Linked DNA regions of Lepisosteus oculatus. The main gene of each other region encodes a partner of the protein of the gene in region 3 in a complex. Links are inferred from orthologs where the notes say so. Each region holds a gene or a part of one and is shown on either strand. Other genes may lie near its edges. The genes, in order: rbmx2, snip1, cwc22 and rbm48.

Region 1 (7,806 bases), on a different chromosome or scaffold from region 3:
AGATCAGGGTTCAAAATTTGTCAGGCCTTCTGTATTTTATCCCCCAGGACACTGTCCAGAGGATGGCCGGGTCACCGGGCTGTGCAGAATTGGTCATTTGAACACCCTGCCTTTACCTTAATCCCATTGAAATTATCCACAGCTAGGATGGTGCTCCTCTGATCCTCATAGCAGATAAAGCAGAAGCCCTTCGACTTCCCAGTCTTATTATCCCGCACCAGATTGATATTGGCAATCTCCCCATACCTGCGAGAGAGAGAGAGAGAGAGAGAGAGAGAGAGAGAGAGAGAGAGAGAGAGAGAGAGAGAGACATGTCACTGGTGGAAAGGGATATGAACAGGGCATTAACACTGAGCACACGGGTTTGAAACCCGTGGTCTGAGGTGGTGAAAACACGTATAATATCAGACACTCACTGTGAGAAAACGCAGATGACGTCTCCTTCCGTTAGCTCATATGGAAAGCCACCTGCCAGAAACCACACACACAGGTCAAAACAGCCACCCACACATGGTTGACAGATAACAGCAAATCCAGTAGGAATCACTAACTTTGGAGGAATATGAAAACACAGATAAGTGAGTCACCCACTCTTGGACAAATAAACAGGGGCCTCCTGGGTTTTTTTCCAGAAGAAATCTTAATAACTTAACTGAATCAACTAATTGATCTGTTGGCCTACTTATACCTCACAACCAATTGTTTCCAGGTTCTTTTTGGATTTTTATCCATCACCTGTCACTCCTGCGGTGGAGTAGTACAGAGGGTAGCCTGTACATACAGGTTTTGGTACCCATTTGTGCAGCTTGGTTTGCTGGAACAATCTGGATAAACTGTCTTACTTAGGGGTACAGTAGCAGTGCCCCCATCTGGGATTCTTCCAGTCAGGAGTCCAGGGCCTCACTAAAGCTGTCCAGCAATAAGGATCCACAATAAAGGAGTGATACAACTTTAAAGCCATTGCCCTAAGCAGTGTGAGCATTTTATCTGCCCTTCCACCACTGCAAATGTAGTTCTTTCTCATCAGTCACCATATAATGCGAGTTTATAAACAGCGATCAATGCAGAGGAGAGAAAGGAAGGTCTGTCTTCACCTATAAATATCCAGGCGCTGTCCTTGTACTCCGAGTGCCAGGACACCGTCTCCTTCACTCCCAGCTCCGCCTCCCTCTGGTTCAGCTCATTGATCAGCTTCACCTTGGTTAGAGGACTGCGCAGAGACAGAGAAAAAGACTGACTCCCACTGCAATACACACACAGCAAGGCTGGGCAGCCCTTCACAATTCTGTCCTTATCTGCCAGCCTGCCATGAATGCATTCTTCTACAGAGGAGGGATTTCTAACCCTGCTTATGCAAAGCCCTACTTCAGGGGGACTGGGTCACCTGATATCACCATCAGTGTCCAATGACAGGCTTAGGACAGTTTAACTGGGATCCAATTAAGCAGATCCGAGTCAGTCAAAGATTTGATTTAGTTCAGGCCTACGTGTTCTGTGTTGTAGCAAGGAAAGGTTAACTAATTTCCATTTCCGTTACTGGGGAAAGTTCAATATGATTCGGATGAGACGTTAAACTGAGATCCTGATTCTCCATGGTCTTGTTTCTTGAAAAGAGTAAGGGTGTTACCCCAGTGTCCTGGCCAAGTTTCCCCCTGGCCTTTACCAATCATGGCCTCCTAATAATCCCCCTCTCTGAACTGGCATCAGCACTCCGCTCTCCTCCCCACTGAGAGCTGGTCTGTGGGGAGCGTACTGGTGCACTATGGCTATCGTCCCATCTTCCAGGTGGGGCTCAACACTGGTGGTGGAGGAGAGTCCCCCATTCATTACCTGTAGTGTTCTTTGAGTGGAGTGTCCAGAAAATTCTATATAAATGTAAGAAATTATAATAAATGATAATAAGCAGTGACTCATAGATTGTGTTATTAAGAGGGTGACGGTTCTGTAGAATTAGAGGTGATTTTCCATTTTTAAACTAGTGAAGTCCTACACAACTTGCTGTAAGCAATTCCACTTCTCACCACAAGGTGGCACCTAACTGCATTTACTGCGTTGCTTGTGTAAATTCAACAACGATTAAAGAGAAGCGAAAACACTCGGTTGAGTTTATACAAGATAAAAAAAGTAAAAACGCAAACAATGCAAAACAAATGCTAACTGAATTACCCCAATTTGGAACCTCAGAGTCGCTGCCAAAATCAAAACAAAACATAGAGCTAGATAGTAGCTAACCACAGGATGAAATATTTCTTAAAATCCAAAGTTTGTAAGCTGGAGAAAGCCGATAAGGACAGTATCACAGAATGAGGTCGGTGTTGCGGCTGTGAGTTTTGGTCACGTAATAAAAAGAAGCTTTTCTTTCAATACCGGTAGCTAAACTTGGTCGATAGCTTTGTCATTTTTAATTTACATAACATCACCCGTTCGCCACTATACAATTAAAAACAGCAAAAGGTTCATTTTAAATTGAAAGCAATAGTTTAGAAAAATAGGAAAAACTAATAGAAGGTCGATACTCACTTCATCATGAACGAATTCACTCCCACGATATCCAAATGACCCCTCTCTCTCCTGCTTCCGCTTCCGGGTTGTTACTGGATCATGTGACAAAAATATCTAGCTTGCGAGTGGAGAGTGTCCTTTGAGGGAACAGTCATTCTTATAATAAAAATGTATCTTAAATTGCATTTATTCATATAACAGGAACAAGGAAGATGGTCCATACCGAATATAAAAACATTTTTCACTCCAACGTCTGTTGAAATAGCAAAGTGGTATATTTTCGCGTGTCCTTTTGAAAACTCCCGAGATACTTAACGCTCTCTTAAAATACGATTGAGATCCACATGCTGTGTCTTCAGCTCATTCATATCCTCTGCATAATTCCTATTCGGAAAGTCTTGAAACAGTGTTTGGGTTTGAGTTACTTTCTACAATCAATGAGACACTGGTCATTATAGAAGAGCCGTTTGCAGAATCTGTATAATGCGTAGATACTAGAATTAATTAAAAAAAAATGAAAAATGCTAAAGCAAGGAAAACATTTGATTTATGTAAAAAATATTATTTGGTCACGTAAATAATTTTCTTCATTACCTGTGGCAAAACGTTGTTTTTTCTGTTTATGTGTTTTTTCTCTTTTATTTGTTTCTGCTCCTCTAGTTGTATTTGTAAATTCTTTATACATTTAATTTTAAAAGTGCGTAGATACGTATCTGTAAAATAAAAGCTGAAAACCTAGAGCGCAGCAACTGATGCACAAAATCAAAGACACCATTTGTCCAAATTTAGCCAATTTAACTAAAAACGTAGCAGTATGATACAAAAGAAAAGTATTCCCCGGGTTTAATTTTTTCTACTGTTCTCATCGTGTTTCCCGTCACTTTGGGTGATGAAATAAACAGTTTCACCTAAACGTGAGTTTATAAATGTTTATAAATAATTAAATCACTAGTTAAATCCACGCACGTGTCCTGTTGAGGGATGGTATGTGTTTCGTTAATGGGCAGGATCTGTCATGTCTGATCATTTCTCACGTCACATTAGCAGTAACATAAATAAAGTAATAACTAGGCATATCTGTCCGGTTTCAAAAACTTTGGCTACACTGAAACTGAATTTGTGTAATTGTTTCATTTCCGGTTTTACCTGGACAATAACCTAGTGCGCACATGGGAAAAATATAGATTGAACTTCCTTTTGGAGACTTGCTCGGTAAGAGTCGTGACGCACTGACTCTACGGCTGATTTAAAAAAATCACCCTTGCACGTATTATGTCTACTTCAGTATCTGATCGGTATCTATAATTCGCTCGCGCTCCATAAATCTTCCCAGCATTTCTCATAACGAAGGCAGCTGTTGCGTGTGCGTGTTTGCGCCTTCGCCGATTACGGAACAGATAAAAGGGAGACCGCTGTTTGTGTGTTTTTAAATAGTATCTTGGTGTATTTAATGAGTTTACTATAATGCAAAAAATGACTGCCAACACGTAAATGAAATCGGTTTCTAGGTGGACTATATCTAGTTTCTAAATAGGGTATCTAAATCCACTTTGAACAACAGTCTGAACTATTATCGCCCTACTCCCCACCTCTTCTAATTCTGGTCTCCTTACTGTCCCCCAAGTCCGTCTACATTGTATGGGTGACAGGACCTTCTCCTGTTATGCCCCCAAGCTCTGGAACTCTCTCCCCAAGGATATCAGAGAGTCACCTTCTCTAAACTCCTTCAGATCCAGACTCAAAACCCTCTTCTTCAGAAAAGCCTTTACTTAACTGGTTCCATTCTTCACCCCTCTGCTTTTCCTAGTACCACCATCCCCGGTCTCCTCTGTGTATTGTAATTGTGTTTTATCTTGTGTATTCTTTTTATTGATTGTTGTTCTCATTCTGTAAAGCGCTTTGAGAAGCCACCTTTAAAGGTGCTATATAAAATAAAATAAAAATATTATTGTTATTACTATGAGAAAAAACATGCGTCCCCGTGGCAACGCCACGTGCGCCTCTGGGCTGCGGACACAGATTTCCAGGGGGAGAGTGGGATAACCAAGACACACCCGAACTTGCTGTGTTGGGGACCCAGGACCTGAGAGAGGCTAGGTGTTCGCAGTGCACCCCTCCCTAAGAGCTGAGTCAGCCTTTCTAAGGAGAACAGTAACGCTGGTGTCTTGATGCTGATTGGGTCTTCTTAGAGTTACGATAAATGATTCTTTCCCAGGTTCACGGCTTTGACATTATTTCACGGCTTGACGGAGCCTAAACTGTCCTGCTTGTCGCTCTGTTATCCCGCCTATTGCTCCTGTTCTTCCTGCCTAAAAGACTCACAGTAATATCCCCATTCAGTTTCGGTGCAAGAACACAGTGCAAAGAAGTTTATTTCTCTTTTGACAAGAAAGTTGTTTGCGCCCATTCATAAACCAGGTGGCAAGATTACACATGGGAGACTCCACGGGACAGTTTTGTTTTTACTATTTACATCAATTTGAAAGGGAGAGATGGAGCATTTGGCACTCCAGTCCGTGCCACTGACTGTCTTAAGTCGAAGTAGTCTGAGGAGGGTTAAAGAGACAGTGTACCAAGGCAAGAAAGGGGTAAAACCTGAGGAAGCAGGAAGGTATTCTAGAGAAGCACAAACACCTGCAGAATATGCTTTTAGTCCTGCTGCCATTACCAGCCCACAGATGTGCTCTGCTGATGCTAGTTGTGTATGCTGTTTGATGAGCAGGTATTTCTCTGGCTTTGTATAAGGTAATGGATCACTGATACACCAACACACACAAATGCAGTGACATAAAATGTTCCAGACCCCTTACTGCATCGTGCTGCCAAACAGTACCTACCTGGGCATTCCAAATATAGTTTCTAAACACTACCTCTTGTGCTGTAGCCTGAGGGCACCTGAAAGACATGCCTTTGGCGGGCTTGCTTAGAAGTTTTTGGCCATTTCGCAAACCTCTCTTTGTATATTTTGATAGCTATTAATAGAAGAACAGAACAAAGTGCAGAAGCAAAAGATTAAGTCAATTAGCAAAGTGTTTAACGTGACTGATGAACCCCGGCGAAAAAGCAAACACAGCCATCTGGTCTTTTCAGCCCGTGGCGGTACAGCTGGGCCGCAGGAGCAGTCGGAAAGCACAGCGTGCCAGCTGGTATCCCCAAATCCCGCTGTTTACTTGCGAAGCTCCGGGTCAGACGGCAGGACGGGAGTAGAAACTAAAGGAAACGGCTGTTTTTTCTCCAGGAATACGTCCAGCTCAGACACCCCCTTGTCATCGGCGGGCGTACCCCTGGTGCCCTTGCTCAGGAGGGGTTAGACAGAGCCCCGTGCGCTGGCGTGTCCTTCCCCGGGCGCGCCGCAGTGCACTGTGGGAACAGGGGTGTGACTGAGCTCTGTGGTCCCAGTGGTCGACGGTGCCTGGCGCCTCCCGGTGGCGATGGCGGCAGCGGCGGGCGAGATCCTGCCCTTGACCGTCGCAAAGAGCACGCCGAGCTGCTGCCTCACCTCCCTCTGCCAGCAGGCGTAGACCAGGGGGTTGATGAGGGAGTTGGAGAGCCCCAGCAGCCAAAGGTAGTTCTCGATGACGTGGTAGAGCCGGCAGTCCTGGCAGAGAGCCTGCACCGTGCTGGCCACGAAGAAGGGGGACCAGGAGAGGGTGAAGCAGCCGACCAGGAGGGCCACGGTCTGCAGGGCCTTCATGTGGCCAGCGAAGTGGCCGGGCTGCGGCAGGCGGGAGCCGGCCAGCCTGGCCCGGCGGATCTGGCGCTGGTGGGCGCAGGCGACCTTGAGGATGTCGCAGTAGAAGTAGATGAAGACGGAGAGCACCGGGAAGAAGCCCGCGCAGAAAACCACGATCATGCCCTGGGGCCGGATCACCGAGAAGAAGGTGCAGAAGCCTTTGTAGTCGCTCTGCTGCAGCTCGCGCACCATCCCGGGCAGGAAGCCCACCAGGAAGGAGACGAGCCACAGCGCCACCAGGGCGCCGGCGGCCGTGCGCGGGCCCGTCAGCTGGGAGTAGCGCAGGGGCAGCTTGATGGCCAGGTAGCGGTCCAGCGAGATGAGGAACATGGAGAGGATGGAGGCCGCGGAGGGGGAGGTGACGCAGGCCATGCGCAGGAGGCAGCTGGTCTTGTGGGTGGAGGAGGAGTGGGCGCCGATCACTTCGGTGGCGATGCCCGGGATGGCGAGCCCCACCAGCGTGTCGGCCAGCGCCAGGTTGAGCACGAAGACCCAGCTCTGGCTGCCCTTCTTGCGGATGAGCAGCAGGACGGCGGCGCCCACCAGCACGTTGGTAGCGATGATGAGCACCGAGCTGATGCTCAGGATCCAGCCTAAGAGCTCAGCGTCCATGCTTGGTGATCGATCCCTGGCACTGCCCTTGCGCTGGCAGGAGAGTTAACAGGAGGAGGCCTGTCCCGTGCTCTGTGTGTCCTGGGTGACAGACATGGTTTGCTGTCCACACTGTGTGCATCTGGGGTGCCAGTCTACAGACGCAAGCTAGTTGCAGCCTTAGTGCTCCATCCACAGAGGCATCGAGCAGCTCTACACATGCACAGCCCATGCAGAGCTCTCTTATCTGTCCTCCAGCCCTCTCTCACTCACCCTCCCTCTCTCTACCCTTTATCTCCCTCCTTGGAGTGCGCTGCTCCACACTCCCCCAAGAACAGGAGTCGCCAAGAGCATGAAAAAAACTGTAAAATAAATAAATAAGTGGGCGCGGATTCGTAAGCCACAATCTGCTTTTGCATAAGGTGCCCCTCCCCCCCCCCCCCCCAGGATAAAGAGGTTTTGATTTGGAGCAGAGTCCGGGGCAGAAAAGCAAAGTCTGCAACTGCAGCTGATGTTGAAATGCGTAAGGATCGCGCGTCAAAAGGCAAAAACAAGCGAAATGACCGCAAAAGACAGCGTGAGCACCCAGGCACCAGTCCTGGAAAAAAACAGAAGAGCATTTCCCTCCAGCCAATGCTCTGATCTCCCTGTTTCCACAGCCCTGTCCGTATGCAGAGCCAGCTGTGGTCTTTCAGTCTTTCACCCCTTTCCAGTCTGGAATCTGGCTGAATTCCCATTCCCATAAGCGCAGCCTGGGATAAAGGACACACCGGAAGGAAAAGTCATCTTCCTAGAGGATTCCGTGTGGTGTATGCCTTAAAAACACAAACAAACAATTTTAAAGAAAATTGCAGATCTGTACTTAGAAAAAAAGGATCCATCAACTTCTAAACTGTTCTTTGAACTGAGTTGTCATTTTTCCTCATTACTTTATTCCTCTTTTTTACATTTCTTTTCATCCAGTTTGATGTCTGTTTTGT
Region 2 (6,903 bases), on a different chromosome or scaffold from region 3:
AACCACATGTCAATCAGAAACAAAATAATAATAATAATAATAAAACTTAACCTATTGATTTTACATATTGTGTAACAGTAATCTAAACTCAGCAAGCTAACATTTAAAATTGGAGTGACCAAATGTGGAGACAGATAATACTCTGATTTTTAGAACTTAAAGATCTCTTATTTTTTTAATTCTGTAACTAGAGCAGGCAAAAGGGCAAACTAACCCCCACAGAGATTGCAATGAAAAAGGAGCTCACCTGTACTGGAACACTGCATGCTGCTTCGAACAAGAAGGGTGATCGATGGGAATGTCTGCGATCTTTCTTTGTCTGCCTAAGAGATAGGCACTCTGGCGATGAATGTACATGACTGGCAGGGGCTCGTCATTTTTGAAAGGGTAGAGCCGCCACCTTCTCTTTGGAATTCGAGCCTCGGGGGGCTCGTTGTATTTAATCACCACCCCCCGGAACGTATTGGTATCTTCCACCAAGGCTCCGGACAGTTCGAAATTGGGCTGCTCCTTCTGGACGGGGTTGTCATCGTTATTTTCCTCTTGACCGAAGCCCGCGTCCTCCGAGTCCATGCGATCTTCGTCTCTCTGCCGATTCTCCCTCCTCCTTTCTTCGTGGCGCTCCCTTTCGGCCTGCTGCTGCTGGAAAACCTGGGCGTCTCTGTCCCGGCCCCGCTCCCCCATCCTCCTGTCCCGCTCAGGCACCCTGTCTCTGTGTCGGACCCTTCCCGCATCTCTGCCCCGCATGTCGTCAGACGCCTCTGAGCGATCTCTGTGCCTCCGCTCCTCCTTCCCACGGCGGTCATCTCGCTCCTGACAACAACCACAATCCGGGTGATCTCACGTTAATCTCAGAGCCCAAGAAAAAGGCCTATTCCAAAACAAGGCATATGTTTCTATTCCTGTCCCAGGAGAGGAATAACTTTCATTGGACTTCAGAGCAGTGCTTGAATGTAAAACCCTTCAGACACACCTCACTGGTGCAACACTACAGAATCTGATCTGGGGTTCATTAGAAATTTGCTCCTGTTGTATGTGATATATATATTCAAAAATAGCCATTGTGCCCCATTTAGAAATCTCTGCGTAGATTCTAATGCATATGCAGTGATCCCTCCTCAACACTCATCCACAGTAATATCAGAAAGACACTGGGGTTGTACTCAGATTATGAAAACTCTTTGAGAATATTTCAATGCAGAGTGTTACAGAAAGATGCACTTTGTGTGTGTTCGCCAGAAAATGGCCTTTTTCAATGCAAAGCACGTTTCAAACCTTCGCTTACCAGTGCTGTGACTTTTTGCATCCACTAAAACACTTCTATGAAATATAAAATACTGCACTTATCCCATTGCCACCTACTCTCTCTCTCTGCACCCAGAATCAGAATTAACTGAGAGACCTGGCTAACAATGTGTGCACGCAATCCTACTTCCAGTTAAACCCTTTGACACCTACAGTGCCAGGTCTCTGGCACCATCTTAAACACTTGAATTGTGGTGCTGATGTCGCCCTTTCCACCTCCACACAGGTGCTGAAGCCATTCTCGATGGCTCGTCTGGACACACCCCACACTGAGTCACCACTCAACACCATAGCCTCATAAGAACAAAACGGACTTTGGGAAAACAGAAAGGAGCCATGATGTGAATTACCTGCTTTATTCTTACATCATTACAGGGAGGACTTGTGCTCCTTCTCTTCCTAGGAGACCTGCTGCCCCGTCTCACTGGGGACTTGTCTCTTCCTCTGGGCGGTGACCTATCAACATAGTTCACACATAAATCTACAACAAAAATATTCCTCCTTGCTCAAGTCACTAAAGTAACACTTTATACACTGAAGACGGTAAGAAACCTTAATAGCTAAGTCTTCAACCCCAAAACTTTGCATTACCTTGCCGTAGGACCTGCCTGTCTGCACAATCTACTCAACACATCCCCAGCCACCCACTTAGGATAAAGAAGCACGGCGTTCTGCAATGCCTGAGGTCACATCCCAAACACAACCACAGCAGAGCATCACTCAGAGAGGCTTGATGCAATTTCTAGTGCTGCACTGTACAAGGGGATGGACAGAGGCAGGTTTACACTTTTCTATAAATCTTTTCCTGAAAACGTCTTATCGGTCGGCACTTCAAATTGTTACCGGCTGGAGTAAAATAATGAACCTAGGTAGCAAAATCATCAAAGTAAATCAGGCCAGCCTAAACGTTAACTATATACAGCATCATAGAGTGGAAGTGACACCCCCGCCGATGTGATTTACACTACTCCCACCTAATAACGCCTCTGTACCGCGATGTGTAATGTTCAAACACAGGAAAGGGTTGACCCCTTTTGCAATTCCCCCTATTAAATAATACAAAGTTATTTATATTGACTGAAATTCTGTTTGTCCTGACCTCTTTGTTGATGTTGATTTCACTGGAATGATCTCAGCCGCAAAATTATTTTCTTCCTAACGGATAACTACATTTGGACTATAACAGAGTTAACGTGCGGCGTACCCAGTATTTAACTTAATCGAAAGAGCTAGGCCTTCAATCACAGCAGCTCCTATAACGCTGTATATAATGCACTACCAAAAGACGGCTCCTTTCGTGAGATACGGTATAAAACGCCTAGTATTTGTAAATACATAAAAACCTATTATTTTTTTCCCAGCTTTCGTTTCTTGTACCCTCCCTACCTGCTGGCTCTTCTCCTGTGCGGGGGTGGGCTTGCGCTGCTGCGATCTGACGCCGAACTCGAGCGGCGAGGTCTTTTAGGCCTGACGGGGCTCAGCCTCTCCTGTTTAATTTTCGTCTTTGTTTCCTTCAGTGAAGGAGGGGACTCCAGCTTTCTGTGTCTTCTCTCCTTGTCCATTTCTCAAACGATTTGTCTAATATCGTTTAGGAGAATTTAAAACACTCTCATCGCAGATATTTTTCAGATGTAATTCCTTACACAAACGCAAAGTCCGTCTACCACAGAACTCGTATCGGGCTTATTCCGGTTCCGGGCACATCGTATATGGGATCCGGATGTTTCAAGCCTTTCGAGCTATATCGTTCCGCTTAATTCGATACTATGGGATAAACTTTTCAATATATAAATCAGTTTAAGTGAGACTTATGATGTACTGGCATTCTTTACAATAGAAATTCCATAATATACTCAAAATATATTTTATTAAAATAAATGTGTTTTAAAAAAAAACAAACTGTGTTGCGTAAATAACGTCAAGGACCCAGGCATACGTCTCAGCCTGCCTACGCTTCTGCTTTTCCAGATTTTTTTAAACCCACACATAATATTTATAATGTCACGTATTAACTGTAAATTAATGTATTCGTGTGTTCTTCGACAAGCTAGTTTTGTAAGGTTGCGATCTGGCGCAAATCCCGGAACACCAGGAGGTGAACTAAACATTGTAAATTGAGTGTTAAAACTTAGTTATTTTAATATTTTCTCTTATATACCACATAAAGCCTGAGAATATACGTCTCAACGTCGGTTATTTGTAATGAATGTATCTTTATATTATTTTATGAATATAACAATATATTTAACATTTAGTGCTTATGCTAGAAATATTCAATGTTTACAAGGCACACTTATTCTAAATTTTAAATATTTAGAACATTTTTACAGTACAGAACATATTGCCCGTATGATTAGTTACATTTGAAGGCTGGTTATGGTTAGTTTACCTGTATTTTTATAGTGAATCTGAGCATTTGTAATATTTAACAACTGAAATCATTTTATTTTCATATTTGATTAACCTGGTCTTCAGTTCTCTCATGTTCCGAATGATGTAGCATTTCTGACATTGTTTTAAAAACCTATATCCAGGTACATGTTTTAAAGCTTCCATTTGCCTCTTTTTTTATTACCATTAAGGTTTGTGTCTTCAGCCCCATCTGCTACTTTCAATAGTATATGAATTAGACGTCCACTGCTAAGAGCCAAAGTATTCCTTTTTATATGGTGTTTATGACACAGATGAAAAAAATGGTTTCTTCTCGGCCATTTGTTCAAGATCTCACCAGTTGATTGTGGACTTTACTGTCCATTTTCCTCCAGTCCTAGCAAACGTTCCAGGAGGAGGAGGAGAAGCATCGCCACCATACCTTACTTCAGAGAGTTGACTGGGAAATGTGCTGTGTTGGGACAGTACCAAATGTACTGCTGGCGTTTGCACCAAAAAGTTCCAATGTGATCTGAACAGATCACAACACCTTTTGCCACATGGTTGCAGGATCACTGCAGTGCTTTGTTGCAGACTCTATGCAGGCTTTGGATTGACTTATTTTTTGTACTGGCTTTCTTACAACCTGCCAAATAGATTTAGTATGTGACACAAATTATTGACTGCCCATTTTCTTCCATCTCAGCCATCGAACTCTTAAAAGTTGTTATTAGCCTTAAAGTGGCATTTCTCACCAGTTTCCTCCTTGTCTGATGCTCACTTTGGAGGTAGGGTCTGAGAACGCAACAGTGTGGGTGATATATTTCTTGATGATTGGAGTAGACTTTGAATGTTTAATACCCTTCTCCTGATCTGTGTTTTTAATTGATTTGATCCTTTTTAGTTTGAAAGCTACTTAGTCATGATATTCACTACCTGACTAAGGACCCTCATATAGAGAATCGGTTTTATTCTTAAATCAAGAGATCCAATATTATGTCATACAGAGGCCACTCAACGTATTGTAAGACTCATTAAGGTACTTTTGTTCACCTAAATTAATTTACCTTTTCCACAACATCTTGAATGCTTATGTAATTAACACTTTTCCATTTTTAGCCAAGTAAATTATATATTTACTTCTTTTTTTTTTGAATGTGTGAAGTAGGTTGCGTATGTAACAGGTATTAATTACTACTCCAAGGTGTCATGACTGCAAACTTTAAAGCAACACAATGTGAAAACTGTGGATGGATATGAATTGGCTCTGCATATGCATGTCTGGATTATTAAGGCTTCTGAATGTGAGTGGAATACCATATAAATATACTGGATTATTTTCACAAATTTATAGCAGCTTTAAAAAATATACAAACAGTAATGGAGGTTTCTGCATGAACAGAGGATTAACAATTCTCCAGCCTACTGCAATTTGAGTTTTACTGCTCTTTCTGGAAAGCTAGAGCTGATTAGACAGATTCTCAGCTGTTTCATTTACTTGTTAGTTAACCATTAACTAGTGGGTGGAGTAGTGGCACTGTGGCTAAGGGTTGGTGCCTGTGGCTAGAAGGTTGCGGCCCAAATCCCACAGCTGACAGAGGAATCCTACTCCTGAGCAAGGCCCTTTAACCCCAATTGCACCAGGGGTGCTGTATAAATGGCTGCCCTGCACTCTAACCCCCAAGCTTCTCTCTCCCTCTCTGTGTGTCTCATGGAGAGCTATTCTAGAGCTAATGCAAGAAATTGGATATGACTAATAAAGTCATCTTATCTTATCTCTTAACTGAAAGGCAAAACCAAAGTTCAGTCATTTATCTATGTATAAAGTGGGATTTCCAAAAGGTGTCTCCGGAAAAAAAATCATCTTGATGCTTCTCTTACTGGAAGAGACACCAGTTTTCATTACTGATGGCGTCACACAAGGAAATTAAGAAAACGGGTTGGGAGGACTTAAACTCTTACTCCCACTGCTGCATTTAGATTGTAAGGGCTACAGCCAGTCTCTGTGTATTATGGAGAAGATGGAGCGAGCACCTGATGTCCACTGGAGAAGGAAACTGTAAGTTAAAGAAAATAACTGTTTTAAATCCATAAATCGCAGATTAATGCAGAACTCCTGCTAGGGTGTGAAACAAAGTCAGTCTGTTGCTTGCTGGAGTGGATTCTAGTCAGGGATGGGGCGCATCTGTATGTATGTCTTGTTTGTCGCTATAATTTTATGTCTGACTTGTCTGTATTTGTTTATACAGTATCCGAGGGCCAAGGGAGAAAGAGTGGCTTATATTGGCAGGACCTGAGAGTCTGGCTTCTGAATGGATTGCCAAGAAAAAATCTGAACTTGTGGATCTACTTTCTAAGGACCCTGAAAATGTTTTAAGCCTAACATATTCTAAAGGCCTGATTACTCCAGCTGAAGGCCACTGGTTGAGAAAATATCCAGTCAAACACCAGATGGCTGAACTGGTGGCAGTAATCATTCATAAGAAAAAATCCCTTACTTTCCTTCAGCTTCTAGCAGAACTGTATGGAAAGGCATACCGCAGACACTATAGATGGATAATGGCTGTTTGTTTAGAACAAAAGGGTAAGTAATGGTTTGATTCCTTTCTCTCTAATGAAAGTGCCAATGAGAGCAAATGATAATTCTTTTGAAAAATATTTTTGGGCATTGCTTTTCCACACAGAGGGTGTCCCACACAAGTCACACGAGCTGTCCATCTTTTGTCTCTTCAGAACCTCTGGATGAAAACAGGACAACAGAACGAGCCAGGGACCCTGTGGACAAGCCAAACCTTTTTGTTAAGCCCTGTCCTCTGGAAACAAGGAGACACATTCAGGACAGTCAGAGAGGGGAGGTAGGCCTGCAAGTCAAATCCAAAATCCTCTCTTTTTCCTGTGAGTAGAGCCCTGGGGGAAGTTAGATCTGTGGGATTCCTCAAGGAGCCCTTTGAAAGATCCTTTTTTAAGAATCAGTAAAATCCTGTATGATTAACAGTGTTAATTTAGTCTTGCAAAACCACCTGATACCCCATTAATCAAAACTATTGTAGATGGTTTAGCTGCACTATTCTGATACACACCACAAAAACTGCAGCAGTTTCTGTACCAAATATAATAGAGCAATTGCATTTGGTACATTTACACACAGGACCATATGGAACATGCTCCCATACAACGGCAATACAGGCCATTTTTTCTTATGTGATATGAAGATACAATTCAAATACA
Region 3 (7,291 bases):
AGATTTCCCAAGCTTCAAACATCCCAAGGAGCACTGTGCAAGCGATCATCTTGAAATGGAAGGAGTATCAGACCACTGCAAATCTACCAAGACCTGGCCGTCCCTCTAAACTTTCAGCTCAGACAAGGAGAAGACTGATCAGAGATGCAGCCAAGAGGCCCATGATCACTCTGGATGAACTGCAGAGAACTACAGCTGAGGTGGGAGAGTCTGTCCATAGGACAACAATCAGTCTTACACTGCACAAATCTGGCCTTTATGGAAGAGTGGCAAGAAGAAAGCCATTTCTCAAAGATATCCATAAAAAGTCTCGTCTAAAGTTTGCCACAAGCCACCTGGGAGACACCCCAAACATGTGGAAGAAGGTGCTCTGGTCAGATGAAACCAAAATTGAACTTTTTGGCCACAATGCAAAACGATATGTTTGGCGTAAAAGCAACACAGCTCATCACCCTCAACACACCATCCCCACTGTCAAACATGGTGGTGGCAGCATCATGGTTTGGGCCTGCTTTTCTTCAGCAGGGACAGGGAAGATGGTTAAAATTGAGGGGAAGATGGATGCAGCCAAATACAGGACCATTCTGGATGAAAACCTGTTGGAGTCTGCAAAAGACCTGAAACTGGGAAGGAGATTTATCTTCCAACAAGACAATGATCCCAAACATACAGCAAAATCTACAAAGGAATGGTTCACAAATAAACGTATCCAGGTGTTTGAATGGCCAAGTCAAAGTCCAGACCTGAATCCAATCGAGAATCTGTGGAAAGAGCTGAAAACTGCTGTTCACAAACGCTCTCCATCCAACCTCACTGAGCTCGAGCTGTTTTGCAAGGAAGAATGGGCAAGAATTTCAGTCTCTCGATGTGCAAAACTGATAGAGACATAGCCCAAGCGACTTGCAGCTGTAATCGCAGCAAAAGGTGACTCTACAAAGTATTAACGCAAGGGGGCCGAATAATTTTGCACGCCCCACTTTTCATTTTTTTATTAGTTAAAAAAGTTTCAAAAATCCAATAGATTTCGTTCCACTTCACAATTGTGTCCCACTTGTTGGTGATTCTTCACATAAAATAAAAAATTTATATCTTTATGTTTGAAGCCTGAAATGTGGCAAAAGGTTGAAAAGTTCAAGGGGGCCGAATACTTTCGCAAGGCACTGTATATTTGATGTATTTTTTTAAATTTTGAACTATTGCATTGCTGTTCCTCGTAGTGTTACAGCTACTCATACGGTTCCTGTACTGTATTTTAGATGAGTACTGCAGTAGTATTGCACTGGAATCTATAGTATTTCATGCATGTAAACATGTTATTTTATTATTGCATTTACTTGAGTTGTAGTTTTTCAGCCTTTGTAATTCTCCCTGGCATGAAAATCAATTACAGGTTGATGTTTTAAGGCCTCATTTTTAAAATGGACTATAATCTTGAGAATCTTCTATGGAACAGAAATTCATGTGTTTGACATTGCTATAGAAAAAGCTCAAATGTCACAGTTGGCCTTTTTCTAAGTATAGTACAATGCTTGCATTCAATCTATCAGTATTTGCACTTGCCTATATGGAACCTGATGTTGTATTTTTGAACATCCTCTTTTGTGAACATGTTCTACTTAAGATCTCTTCCAGATGCAAGAACATTGAATAACTTTCTTAAAATGTGGTTCCAGCTATTTAAGTTCTTAATTAAGAAAGAAAAAGGAAGGCAGTTTCTAAGCAATTTTCTCAACTCCCTATCTTAAGAAATGTCTACTAGAGCAAATTAATTCATTGCGCTATATTGATCATGCAAAAATAAAACCCAGCATTTTCCATGGAATGGTAATCTTAGGAAGTAGCTATTTTTCTCATAATTAGACTAGCAGAGACATGTAAAATATTTAATAGTGTTGTTGATGTAAAAACTGCAATCACTGGCTGTTCAGATTGATGGATTGCATTGAAAGTGATTATATAATAATTTCAGCAAACAGATTAGTCTGTAACACAATGTTATTAATAAAAGCTTAGTATAATATATGTATATGATGGTATCATTATGACTTGTATAAGCACCATGACCTTTCTAAAGCTATCTTGCTTGAAACTGTGCAATTCATGGCACTCCTATGGTCTTGACCTGATCAGCAACTGCTAAAGAGCCCTATTTTGCATATGTGTGACCAGTCCTTGACCGATTTCTGTGAAAGTCAACTGTCCAAGATACTGTCATACCGGTTTTGTGCTATGTATAGGCTGCTGTCCTACAGATTTGGGATTTTTTTTCACAATACACAGAGCATTGCCACCTTGCATTACCCAAAGGCTAACACAATAAATTATTAACGCCACTCATAGCTTCAGTTCTATGGACATTACTGACTTTATGGTTGTAAAAAAAAATATTTCTCAAGTAAACTGTGCAAAAAGAATGTCTCTGTTAAAAAATGCTATTCTTTTGAAAATCAAGAATATTTTGGTCCTTTCCACACCATTTACTCCACCAAAGTAGCTTCACTGGCAGCATCGTAAAGCATAAAGTGTCTCCTTAGGGAACACACTGCCATAAAAGTGGATGTGAGATTCATCATTAATGCCACCTCTGCCCCATGATGTAAAGCCTGCTCTAGTTTTTCTTGTCAATAAAAAATGTGTTTTCATGTAAACCACGAAAACAAGGCCAATGCCCCAGGGTAAGCAAATGCTTAACCATTACATCTTAGCTTTTATTCCAAAGACTCCTGTGGTTTTCTTTCTTTTTGTTCAATAAAGCTTAAAAAAGTAGAAAGGACAGTATTCCAGCCTTAAATGTGAACGTCTTCTTCTCATGAACAGACACTGAAAAAATATTCTGCTCTTCTGGAGTATTTTGTTGAGAATTCCTATACAAATAGAGTATGAATTTATTCCTCTCATTGACTCATTGAGTCATTTTCTATGTTTTGTTCTTACTGTATTTTTTCTGTGATGGCAAATCCTGTACTTAAAGGAGAATCTTTTTTAGGTTCAAAAGCATTACACCATCATTTTAGGTTGTACGAAAATCGGCAAAATGGAGGAGGAAACATGCACACACATGAATGGAAACCTAACTTTAGGGTAAAGAGAAATAAACAGTGCTTGTTAATAATATTTCATATTTACACATACTGTACAGTGCTAATTAGCTCACAATTTTATATGTTAACAGCTCAGCAGGTTTCCCAAAGTAACATAAAATCTCTCTCAGCATTCATACTTAAAGCTAAAAATGAGAAAAGAATGGAGGTATTTTAGTTAAGATTTAAAGTATAATATACCATGGATATTTTGTAATATGTACAGTATACAATGTCTCCATATGCAGTAATCAAATGCCTTATCAATATATCCATAATAAATAGGAAAATCATAATTCGTCGCATTTATGTGCCACTTTGCACCCCAAAGAACTTTACATATTTGAAGGGACCCATATTATCCACCAAAGGAAAACTGCATTCAACTGGGTAATGTGTGGCACCCATTTTGCACCACTAGCCCCATAAACAACAGATCAGGGGGAGAAGTGAGAAAATGCTTCACCTATTAAATTAAAAAATTCAGGTTGTACAAATTGTGCAGACCTAAAATGGAACTTATCTAGTGAAACAGAGCTCATCCCCGTAGTCTCACAAACAGTGTCCAGGGACTTTAACAACAACCAAACTGCCAGGACAGAAAAGCAGTTTGTACGGCACAGTATTCCTTATTGCCATACTGGGGTATTAGTTTTAGAAATCATGCTTCAAAGGAAATAGTTACACCTACTGGTCTACTTAAAACACATACAGCAGCAACCTTGGTATCTTTAGTATCTTTATCCCAAAAATGACCAGACTTCTGAGATCTGAGATCAGATCAAGTCAGGATCTAAGATGTTAATGCTGCTGTGAAGCATTCAGCTCAAAATATTACTGTAATGTTAGAAGTCATACAACTGCTACTTACAGCAGTCTTTTTGTTGTTCTTTTGTATGTTGCAGCTTTCCGGCTGTGCTGTGTTCGTAGACTACACTGAAATCTTCTTTAAAAATGATCTACAAATTGCTGATGAAAACAATAATTAACGATCTTTAAAATCACTAGACACGTTAGTTAAATCTTGTCTAGAACACAAATACCTCTATCTTTTTATCACTCCCTATAGTGCTGGTAAAGTAACGGTCTATTTTAGATTTCGATACACTGTACTGTGATTTCGAATTTCGCGTTCTTTTGCTGATGTAGCAGGTAGTGTGAGGCTCACCAATTCGTGCCGTTTGAGCACTACAAGGATCCGTAGGTGATCTTCACTTGAGGAAAGATGGCCGCGGAATCGAATGAAGTTGAAATTGAAACAAGACGCGACTTGACTGCAACAGAGGAGGTAAAAATAAAGTATTTTCATGTTCTTTGAGTGATATTGTTGTCATAGTTTCATAGGTAAATTATTTATATAATATCACTTCAATGTTTAGGCGTTCTGATCGTCGTAGTAAGGTTAAGCATTGACGAAACGTGTACAGGCCTTCCCTGTACTATAAAGAACTCCGGTCTGTCACACATGGCGCAATGCAAGTAAACATTTCTTCCCTTGGGTATAAAAACTATTAAAAATATTTCTGCATTATGATTTTAATACATTTCCTAGCTTAAAAAGTTTTTTTTCCCCTGTTACTAATATGACCCAGGTTTAATTAGTCGAAAATAAACTATTACTAGTATACGCATTTTTGGTTAGTTTATAACTAAAACATTGTTGAATAAAACGCGTTTGTCTGCATCATCTAAGGTAAATCTGGAGTTGTAGAGACGATAACTTAGTTATCAACAATATTAGAAAAGTGTACGTAAGCTTCTCGCATTTTGTTATTGTTAGGCCGAATTTAATAGGAACAGGTGTTGGTATATTTATTCCATTTTTCCCTCGGATACTAGATCCGTAAGTACACAAATTATGGCGACGAAGTTTTTATAGATAGTTCTAGTGCAGGTTTAGATTCGGTGGTTGTATAAAATGTTTTGGAAAACAATTAAGAGTTTTATTTCGTCCTGTCTGTGATGCGTTACTGGTTCCAGGAAGATTGTAGATGCTTTTCCTTCCGTTAATATACACTTGTGGCACTGCTTCACTCTTAGCGGATTTTCTCAAGATAAACTGAAATGTAGGCCTACATGCTGTGAATATTGGAAGTAGCAGCATACTCCATTTGATGAGGAGAAGTTCAGTTACCTCAGTGAATTGTGAGCATGTCAGTTACCCGTTTTCTAAACGATAACTGTTTATCGTTCAGTAAAGGCCATAGGGTTCATTTATGGTGAATTTATGTCGTTTATGTATTTTATTGATTATATGTAAAACACCCTTTCATTTGCTTTGTGGTGGAGGAAAACGTTAATGCCAAATGGACTGGTGTTGAAAATTCAAGTATTTATCCGTATTTTTCTGATACAATTAATATAAAATAGTCAAATAAGATAGCAGCACTAATTAAAATTATAATAATAATAATAATTATAATTATAATTGCTTACACTTATATAGCGCTTTTCTGGACACTCCACTCAAAGCGCTTTACAGGTAATGGGGTCTCCCCTCCACCACCACCAATGTGCAGCATCCACCTGGATGATGCGACGGCAGCCATAGTGCGCCAGAACGCTCACCACACATCAGCTATTAGTGGGGAGGAGAACAGAGAGTAATGAAGCCAATTCATAGATGGGATTATTAGGAGGCCATGATTGGTTAAGGCCAATGGGAAATTTGGCCAGGACGCCGGGGTTACACCCCTACTCTTTTCGAGAAACACCCTGGGATTTTTAACGACCACAGAGAGTCAGGACCTCGGTTTTACGTCTCATCCAAAGGACGGCACCTTTTTACAGTATAGTGTCCCCATCACTATACTGGGGCATTAGGACCCACGTGGACCACAGGGTGAGCGCCCCCTGCTGGCCCCACTAACACCTCTTCCAGCAGCAACCTTAGTTTTTCCCAGGAGGTCTCCCGTCAAAATTGAACATTGCCAGCTGTTGCTTAGCACTGCTTTTACTTTTCACTAGTGTAATATGTAGACAGTACAAGTTGTTTGAATTTTCTCCCCAATACCTGTGGTTTTGTGAACCAAAACCAGTTGTGAACCGTGAGATCTTCAAACATTTTATCGTCAAGATCAATTTGATTGCATTATACATATAATTTATGTAGCATCTCTGATGGTATTCTAGTTCCATCTCATACCTGCAGATTCTGAACTGATTTTTGAACGCAGGTAAATTGAGTGGGAAAGATAGAATTTTATTGTGAGGGAAATGTAGTTAAGGAAATGAAGTGTCACAGCATGGGGAAATCACTGAGTCTAATAGTGTAAAAAAAGTCAAGGGTGTGTGTTAGTTTTGTCGGAATGTTATCTTTTTATTTGTTATCTTAGTGTAGAATTAAATTCTGAATGTTTTCAAATGGTTTTGCATTCTTATTATTTAGAAAATGTTTTGAAAGGAATAAGCAGTCTGTCTAAAAAGTGTAAATCTCATGGGTGGTACTGAAAGGCAGGTGTGACTTTTATAATAATAATAATAAACTTTATTTTATATAGCGCCTTTAAAGGTGGCTTCTCAAAGCGCTTTACAGGATGACAATAACAATAAATAAGAAGACTACAACAATAAATAAGAAAATTTCACAAGACAGGACACAATTATAATTACAACAATACAACAATAACAATAGAGGAGACCGTGGAAGATGGTATTAAGAAGAGCAGAGGGGTGAAGAATGGAACCAGTTAAGTAAAGGCTTTTCTGAAAAGGAGGGTTTTGAGTATGGATTTGAAGGAGTTTAGAGAAGGTGACTCTCTAATATCCTTGGGCAAGGAGTTCCAGAGCTTGGGGGCATAGCAGGCGAAGGCCCTGTCGCCCATACAATGTAGACGGGCTTGGGGGACAGTAAGGAGGGCAGAATTTGAAGAGCGGAGGTTGCGAGGTGGGGAGTAGGGCGATAAAAGTTCAGACAGGTATTGAGGTGCCAAGCCATGTAAAGCCTTGTAGGTGAGCATGAGGATTTTAAAGTCTACGCGGAATTTGACCGGAAGCCAGTGCAAGGACTCCAGGATAGGAGTAATGTGAACACTTGCACTAGATCTGGTCAGGATTCTGGCTGCTGAATTTTGGACATACTTTTAGATATGTTTGCAAAATCTATTCTCTTCTGTAGCAGCAATGACATCTAAGACTGACATAAAATTATTGAAGCTGAATATGCTGACATATTTTTTAACAGAATTGTGAGACATTTACTTTGAGTTAAT
Region 4 (8,015 bases), on a different chromosome or scaffold from region 3:
TCAAAACACTAACGCCAGACTGTATTAGTTCTAATGCTTATCTGGATTGTTCCTCCTACTTCTGTTCAGCAAGGAGGTTTCTTCAGCACCTTTCAAATATCAATATTAATTTAATCAAAGTGATTTCATGGGCTTCTTATTATTCTAGTTAATGTCCGAGAATGACCGTTTTGGAATGCTGAAGACCTTCTGGAGCCACTCGGAAATCAATGTGTTATGTCTCATCCTCATTCACACAGCTCCTTGCTCTCGAGCAGAGCGTTTCCCAGTGTAAAGAGCACAATTAAATCCTCCTGCGTGGTTTTGGGGCAATTGGCTGCTGCTCTCCTGGCTTTGACTCTGGAACCGAAGAGATCTGGTTGCAAAAGAAAAAACAAATATGGTAAAATGCCCCAACACAGTTTTCCTATATTGTTATAACTCCACAGTGCCTCGAGGCAGAATATGTCTCCTACTGAATAGTCTTCGGAGAGATGGAAAGGTGGCGATAGAAAAAAAAGGCATGAGTGGCTCATAATGGATTATGTACAAACACAGGTGCACATCTGAGCACCAGTTTATTTGGAAATCTATATGTGGACTAAAAGAGACGAATTAGAAACATTTCAGATCTGATAGTCCTATTATTGGAAGTTATGCACATGGAATCCAGCTGGGCAGTTCTTCTCACACATATGCTTGTTGGTTTTGTAACACTACACTACTGTGCAAAGCCTTTCCAAATATCTTACAAGTACTGTAATGTGTGAGGTTTCTGATGGCTTGTGTTTTTAACAGCTCTACTGGCCTACTGAACAACAGCAGAAATGGAGAATAATGCCAAACACACATAACAGAAATGAAATGCTAAGACAGTGAAGGTCTTATAAAGAACTTAAAATCTGCAACTCACCTTAATTATTTTTGATCTGATTAAGTCGACTGAAGTGTTTAGGGAATCATCTCCCATATCCACTTTGGGTGTTTCTGGTAGTTTTGGTCCAATGATTGTCTCATTTGTTCTGTTAATTCCCAAAAGAGAGAGTTCCCCAGCCTGTTCCATTTTTCTTTTCCTTTCTTGTAAATGTGTGGTTCTTGGTATGAATCTTGCAGTACTGCTTTTAACTACAGCAACAGGATCTTTCTGGTCCTTGTGAACTCGCTTATCTTTACGAACAGACCCTAAGGGATCCCCCAAGGAATTCTTACTGTGATCAGCTGAACGATTCCTGGGCACCACTCTGAACCTTTCAGATGAAGAACCCACTTCCGGAAGTCCCTTAAAGCTAAAATATGTCTGTTCCCCAAACGACTGATGCCCAGGGATGTCTTCCTGAGGAGGAGGAGGCAGCATGGGATAGCCATAATAATCATTCCAGCTCTCGACTTTTTCACCATCATCACCAGTTTCCTCTGCTTGCTGTTGTTCACATGCAGCTTCCTCAGATGTACTAGGCTTCTCCACTTTCTTCTCTGTATTATCATGGTCTCCTCCTGGAAGGAAATAAGAAGCCTGACTTCCAGAACACTCGTAGTATTTCAGGATATGCACATTAAATCCACAAGGTCTGGTAAACAAAAAAAACAAATATCGATTTTGTCTTTGTATATTCATAACTATTACATAAGACCTCCTTACAAAGCTTTTAAATTCGTGTAAGTGATCAACTACACTTAAAGAGTGGAACAAATATGGGCCCCCAGCTTTAAATGGGAAGGTCTTCTGAACTTTTAGGACTATTCTGACTAAAGCATGAATCAACATTTGATTCATTTGACTCAACATTTGATTTTTATTTTAAAAAGCTCACCTTTATTCCGTGTTACTCTTGCAATATACCTCCTCCTGTCCTGCAATTTTTCCCTGGTGTCCTGCACCGTTTCATACTCTGGAGCATAGCACACATGTAGAAGTCCACCAAAAAAACTCCTCTCATCCAGTTTTCGTTTGGCTACTCTGTATTGGGTAAAATATTTTAAATAGTTGTGGGACACTGATGATTTTTCGTTTTATCAACATTTTAAAATGCAATTATTTCTTTGGTGTTGTATTAAAAATAAAGGGATATTTACTAAAATCACACAGTCACAGTATATTCACTGAATATTCTGCACTTTCACAATTAACAGGTGAAATTAACTCGAATTAATGTGCTTAAAGAAATCCAGATTTTATTGTCGAGTAGGCTGTATGCCTTGCTGGCATAACGTTTTGTCCTTCAGTTCATCACAAACAAGCAGTTAGCAAAAAAAACACACACAAACAGCAAACAGAACAAGAAACACAAATGTGAATTCGATCCAAATGCTAGGAAGACCACTGTTACCTTACTGGTGTGAAGTGGTATTATAAATGAAAATACCAGAACTGTTACCTTGCACTTTGTAGTTTCTGGAACTTTATCAAGTACACTTCTGTGAATTGTTCTGACGGATATTCGTCTAACACACGGTATTCTTCAATCACTCCATACAGAGCAAAAAGCTGAACCAGCTCAGACATCACCCCCAACGCAGGCACCCCCTGGACCAACAAGCAGCGGGACTCCAAGTTGATAGTATAAACCTAAACAAAAGGAATTGCACATATTACACTTCCTAAAGCTGCTTTTGACTTTGTCACCGTCAATAAATAAGAGTCAGTCTTCTTAGACTGCTCCAATAGAGCTCTGCTGGGTTAAATATACTGTGGTCGTGCTGGACTTCGTAAACCCGCATTAAAAGCAAGTTTCTAATCTGAAAGAGTTTAAAGATGTTTCTTGTCTGACAGCTTGAGCCCAGCAGAACACAGTAATTGATATAGCAGGCTACGTACAGAAACAATCGTTTCGGTAAAGACAAACACAGGGGGAAAAAGCTAACCTTGACAGCCTTAAGCCTCCTCCCTTCCCTGTATTTAGCTCTTGTATAACAAACGTCTGTTTGTTGGTGGTGTTTTAAAATCTCCGGGATGCTCCAACTGGAGGCAGCCATCTTGTTCTGTCAAGGCAGAAACAGCCTACACAGAGCTAATCGAGCGTGACCAATCGGGAAGGTTTCTGGCGCTGATTGCCCCCGTATCATTGTACAGTACCATAGGCTGTAGTCTGTCAGCTTTAAACCAATGAAAAATAAAACCGAGTTCCTGTTTTGATACTTAGGGGACTGGTGCATAATCTCAATGCGCGTTGCAATAAGATTTAAAAAAAGAATGTTTCATTTACGTTTAGGGTGACAGACAATTAATATCAAATAATTAATTTACACAGAGATGTACTGGGGGAAATACATACTCTTCGTGCACAGCAAAGCTTCGATGCTGTAATACCGAACAGCAGCAGCACCTACAAAATATTCAAATTTGACGATTTTTGTTGAACTGCTCCTAGCCGGAGAGCGAGTCGCTCGCATTGCCCTCCTCTCTGCAGGTGGTGAAGCGCTGCTGTACAGTATCTTGTAATATCTATTTCTGCAGCAGCAATGCTGGGAAGCCATGGCATACAGCCAGTGACATTAGTTTTTAATAATGCTAAAAACTGTTTTCTGCACCTCTCTTCGAGCTTAGTTTCACAGCTTCGCCTTCAAGAGGTAGTACTCTGAGACCTTACGTTGTCGTGTTAGTGATATCCATGTACCTAACCAATTGCCAATGCTTGCGTATTGTTTGTAGTCAGGACTTAGCATAAATAAAGATGTCGAAATACAGTCTAATACGAAACTCGCTTATAAGGTGGATCTTTACACCTTTGAGTCTGAATCATAGCTGAGACGGATACTCAAATACAGCGCAGGGTTTAGAGCCGACTGCCACGGTCCAGTATTTGCAGGGGGGTTTCTCATTTTCATCTCGTTTGGACTCAGCGGTCTTGTACTAGAACTGATTTCTTGATTGATTGATTCATTTGAAACCTTTCCGCGGTGAGGAGCTGGAGATGACCCTTTTAATAGACTCCCCACAGGATGAGACCTCGGCCGCGTGATTGCGATGCGAGGTGTTTCTGTTTCTGTTTTCTTTTTGCGTTTCCAATCAGAACCAAGCCCTGGAGCTCTCCTGGGACCGCTGTCAACCCGTGTACCTCAGCTGGACGAAATGCCTGCAGTCTTCATTCCAGGGGGAGAGCGTTGTAGAGGTCAACAGGCACTTGGGTGCCAGGCTTGGAATCAAAGATGGAGAGCAGGTAGGGATGTCATGGACAGCTTCTCCAGCTCCTGAATTTCTGGTGTCATATTTTACACAAACGGCTGCAAAGGACAACCTCAAAACAGAGACACCCACCTACTGCATGACAAACCCTTGAGCTTCACTCTATGTTTGCCTAACAACATCATTCTTATCACAAGGAAGTTACCATTATGATGACGATTATTGTGATAATTACATATGTGCTGTTTCTTTATACTGTATGTGAATGTGTGAAGTTTTATTACATTATTTTCCAGGCATTTCTCAGACCTTGCTGGCAGATCCTATCCATTCAGCAGGTGTTTGTGGAACCACTGTCATCTGATGACTGGGAGATATTGGTATGTGTTTAGTCTGCAATTTTTTAATGTAAACCAAATGCTCTCATCTACTGTATATGACAAATTAACTTGAATATTCACATTTTGACCCAATCATGCGTTTGTCAGAAGTGAGAATGGACATCACTTAAATGTGATAAAAATGGCGCGGGTTTGTTATTGTCCCACTGAGATTACACGAGCTGACGACGGGCTGTCACTTTTCTTTCAGGAGCTTCACAGCTCAGCACTTGAGCGACACCTCCTTGACCAGATAAGGGTCGTGTATCCAAACGGACTGTTTCCCGTGTGGGTGGACCAGCACACTGTCATCTACGTCAGGATAGGTTTGCAATTTGCACTCTTCCCTCTATCCGCAATTGTTCTGTAGCAGGTATTCGGTGCTATGCCGGGTGATTTAAGACCTAAGTGGCATGAGACCCGTGTGTTCCTCTGCAAGATGTTGCACTCATTTTGCTTTTGTTTTGTTGAAATGTGAGGTCTAGCTCCTGACTGGAAGGTCCTGGGATTAATCCCAGGTAGGGGCAAGTGATTTCGCTTGCTCTAATTCCTTCCTGAAGACACCCAGGTCCACTCAGCCTGCTTTCCAAATGAGTACCGGGGGTTAATCCTTCTGGGGGTAACAGGCTGGCCGGAGTGCGATGCTGACCGCATCACCTCCACCTCCAGTGTCAGATGGTTGAAAAGAATGGTGGCCCCTGCCTCCCTTTCTCCATGGGCCTTTATGGCCTGAAAAGGGGACCTAACCTACCTACCTTTGTTAAAATGTATTATTGGAGACACAGACACAAACAGGCCAGCAAGAGTCACTTTATTGTGTGTGTAAAACACACTTATTACACGTTTAAGGGGAGCCTAATCCCAGCTCCAGGTCTCCAGGTATTTAATTTTGAAATACGTGAATCAGGTGTTCATTCATAAGCAGGAGGAAAAGACATTGTCAATGTTAGTAGGAGACTTAATAATTAATGTTTTTGCCACTTTTGCTGATTTCTTGGATGTGTACTAAAGCTAGTTTTAGTGACCATTGAGCTTGCTGTTAGAAATAGTCCCTGGCTTGCATTAGAAAAAAACATGAAAGTTTGACTTCAGTCAGTGTTATTTACGGTTGTATTCCCATGACGTAGTTAACCTAGTGTGAGGCAAAGTTTAGACTTACTATAGTGGTTTTGTGTAAGCTGGATATTGACTTCTTACCTATGATTAATCTTCATACAATTACAACCTCCAAACTCCAGCCAGCAAAAAAAAACAACAATATTGTTCACACATATGTTGTGTGTTAAGTCCTTAAATGTGTCATTGTTATGTCAATTGTGGTCCAGCATCTGTCTCCCGAGAAACAATGACAGACTGTTTGTAACGCGTTGATCTTCCTGTTCCTGCTCGGCTCCAGCTGCCCTCACGCCCGCTGCTCCGTATGGCCGGCTGGAGCAGCTCACCGAGCTGATCGTCTCCCCCAAGCTGCGCCAAGACGGGGAGAGCCCGGCGCGCCCTTCTGCCCCCCCGAACTGGCAAGCAGATGCCAGTCAGGCTCGGGGTCCGCACGGGCCAGACAACGCCCCGGGGAGAGACGCGTTGGGCACCCACCGCGGGGCGCCACCGTGCGTCTCCCCCGGAGGGGGGCGCAATCTGCGGAGCCTGATCCGATCCATGTTCGCCGGGAGCCCTGCCCCCCAGAGGGAGGTTCCCGCTGTCCCTTCGGTGCCGCCCGTCCTCGGGGACTCTGTTTTCAGAGTGAGCAGGAGCGCCCCCTTCCCTGCCGGCCGGCAGAGCCCCGGTCACGGAGCAGCCCACGTCTTCCCCTGGCGCCACCCCTGCGCGGCGCGCGGCGGGGCCCCGTTCGCTGTCACCTACGGCCGGCTGTCCGGGCTGCACCGCCCCAGGGAACCAAGGGAAAAGCCGCACAGGACGCTGTCCCAGCCCGAGAGGAAGAGGGGCCCCGAGGCTCGGGGCGCTGGAGACCAGCTCGGGTCCGGAGGGGGCGCCGCAGGGCCCCTGGCCGTCAGGATCATATGCCATGGGGTGGAGGAGCTGGCGGACACCCAGGGCTGCGGCAGCAGGAGAGGGATGCCGTATGGTGGGAGGGTGTGGGTGAGTGGGGGGCCGCAGCACGGCTCAGTGGTTCGAGCTCCAGACTCGTTACTGGAGTTGGTGGGTTCAGACACTGTAGCGAGGTACGTCACTCAGATTGCTCCGGAAGAGTAAACGAGGGGTAGGAAAGCACGTTGCTTGGACACAACAGTGTCGATATACAGTACGATTACAGCCACAGGGCTGCATTCAATTTGGAGCTGGTGACAGGAATGTTTACAAAGGGTTTAAAATAGGTTTTTAAATGTGTGTAGTTGATGCTTTTGACTCTAGTGATTCCCTTGAATCTTGTTGATTCACCTGTAGGATAGCAGGATACAGTATATACTGTACACATTTAATTTAAAAAATACATTAATAGCCCATTTGCCTCACTGTTTTAGCAGCAGGGGAGATGCTATAAAGAATTCCAATGTGTTCTGTGAACAAATGGAACTAGGATCCTAACAAAGCCGCTCACTGTAAATGATTCTAAGTGCGGTTCAAAAGGAGTTTAATGTCTTTGGGTGAACAAGCATGGGAAATGTCAAATACTGTATATCACATTGATTCAGTGGTTAAATGACTGATATACTGTTTGTTTCAGTACCCTTCTATATTGCTTTGTATTGTTTTCCAAATCCCGGCCTGTGTGTCTCATTATCCTTATTGTCCACAGATTTCAGAATCCATTAGAAGAAGACTGGGTATTGATTTCTGCACAGCCGTTAGAATACAGCCATTAAACTCAGTCCCAGAAATAGCATCCTGTGTCCGATTGCAGCCCTTGCAATCACTGGTGAGTTGAACCGTAGATTTTGTAGGAGATAAAATGCAAAGCTCTCTCCAGTTAAAAGGATTAAAGGTATTTTTGCTAGAAGTGTAAAGCACATGGGTTTCTTTAGAGTATTTTTTTTTCTTGAGTGGAGTCATTGGTCTAGTTATTGTATAGCCCAGCTTCTCTTCTGTTTCTGAAACCCCCACTTAAGTGAAAGTGCCTGTCTTTGTTTGTGTCTGTTGTGTGTAGAAATTGCTCCAGCCTTGTGGTGCTTTTATGTCTCAGTTGCCCATATTGAAACTAAGAGACCTGACAGAAGTGTTTAATCTTTACCTTTCCTCAGCCGCAGAAGGTCAAGGAGCAGGATGTCCAGTCTGCTTTCCTGGACTGGCTGCAAGCTCAGAATAATGAAGAGCTGCCTTGGCTCACAGGGAGGTCCAGCTTTGTCGCCTTGCCAGTCCACGAAGGCAAGTGTTTTACTGATCATTCATTCGGAGCCGTAGTGGAAGAGGAGGATGTTTTAAAGTAGTGAATGGGATAAGCTATTAACTGGTATCATGTCCAACTAAACCTGTTCTAGAGGTCCCTTGGCTTTTAAAGTGGGTTTGATCCTATCAGATGATCATTTCTTACTTTTAGGTCAGGATACACAGGATGATGTTGCTTAGCCTTTGCTCTGATT

What was found.
Region 1: cwc22 (region 3) and rbmx2 share a complex: the UniProt entries of both Homo sapiens proteins name them as parts of the minor spliceosome. The link is inferred for Lepisosteus oculatus from reciprocal best matches to the Homo sapiens genes CWC22 and RBMX2.
Region 2: cwc22 (region 3) and snip1 share a complex: the UniProt entries of both Homo sapiens proteins name them as parts of the minor spliceosome. The link is inferred for Lepisosteus oculatus from reciprocal best matches to the Homo sapiens genes CWC22 and SNIP1.
Region 4: cwc22 (region 3) and rbm48 share a complex: the UniProt entries of both Homo sapiens proteins name them as parts of the minor spliceosome. The link is inferred for Lepisosteus oculatus from reciprocal best matches to the Homo sapiens genes CWC22 and RBM48.

Annotation. Positions count from the first base shown.
Region 1 is NC_090703.1:47,213,531-47,221,336, forward strand, and holds the start of rbmx2 (RNA-binding motif protein, X-linked 2), read right to left. Parts: upstream 3,001-7,806; 5' UTR 2,529-3,000; coding exon 2,521-2,528; intron 1,211-2,520; coding exon 1,095-1,210; intron 469-1,094; coding exon 417-468; intron 247-416; coding exon 117-246; intron 1-116. Other genes in the region: glucose-dependent insulinotropic receptor, read right to left, coding at 5,810-6,847. UniProt on the Homo sapiens protein: Involved in pre-mRNA splicing as component of the activated spliceosome. As a component of the minor spliceosome, involved in the splicing of U12-type introns in pre-mRNAs.
Region 2 is NC_090706.1:12,463,937-12,470,839, forward strand, and holds the start of snip1 (smad nuclear-interacting protein 1), read right to left. Parts: upstream 3,014-6,903; 5' UTR 2,868-3,013; coding exon 2,692-2,867; intron 1,762-2,691; coding exon 1,656-1,761; intron 814-1,655; coding exon 248-813; intron 1-247. Other genes in the region: caspase-13-like, read left to right, coding at 5,688-5,734, 5,925-6,259, 6,409-6,530. UniProt on the Homo sapiens protein: Required for pre-mRNA splicing as component of the spliceosome. As a component of the minor spliceosome, involved in the splicing of U12-type introns in pre-mRNAs. Down-regulates NF-kappa-B signaling by competing with RELA for CREBBP/EP300 binding.
Region 3 is NC_090707.1:19,010,168-19,017,458, forward strand, and holds the start of cwc22 (pre-mRNA-splicing factor CWC22 homolog), read left to right. Parts: upstream 1-4,278; 5' UTR 4,279-4,305; coding exon 4,306-4,368; intron 4,369-7,291. UniProt on the Homo sapiens protein: Required for pre-mRNA splicing as component of the spliceosome. As a component of the minor spliceosome, involved in the splicing of U12-type introns in pre-mRNAs. Promotes exon-junction complex (EJC) assembly.
Region 4 is NC_090705.1:5,011,726-5,019,740, forward strand, and holds the start of rbm48 (RNA-binding protein 48), read right to left. Parts: upstream 3,012-8,015; 5' UTR 2,953-3,011; coding exon 2,842-2,952; intron 2,546-2,841; coding exon 2,355-2,545; intron 1,937-2,354; coding exon 1,791-1,936; intron 1,474-1,790; coding exon 893-1,473; intron 356-892; coding exon 284-355; 3' UTR 1-283. Other genes in the region: peroxisomal ATPase PEX1, read left to right, coding at 3,439-3,546, 3,990-4,136, 4,399-4,482, 4,694-4,808, 5,879-6,576, 7,235-7,354, 7,677-7,800. UniProt on the Homo sapiens protein: As a component of the minor spliceosome, involved in the splicing of U12-type introns in pre-mRNAs.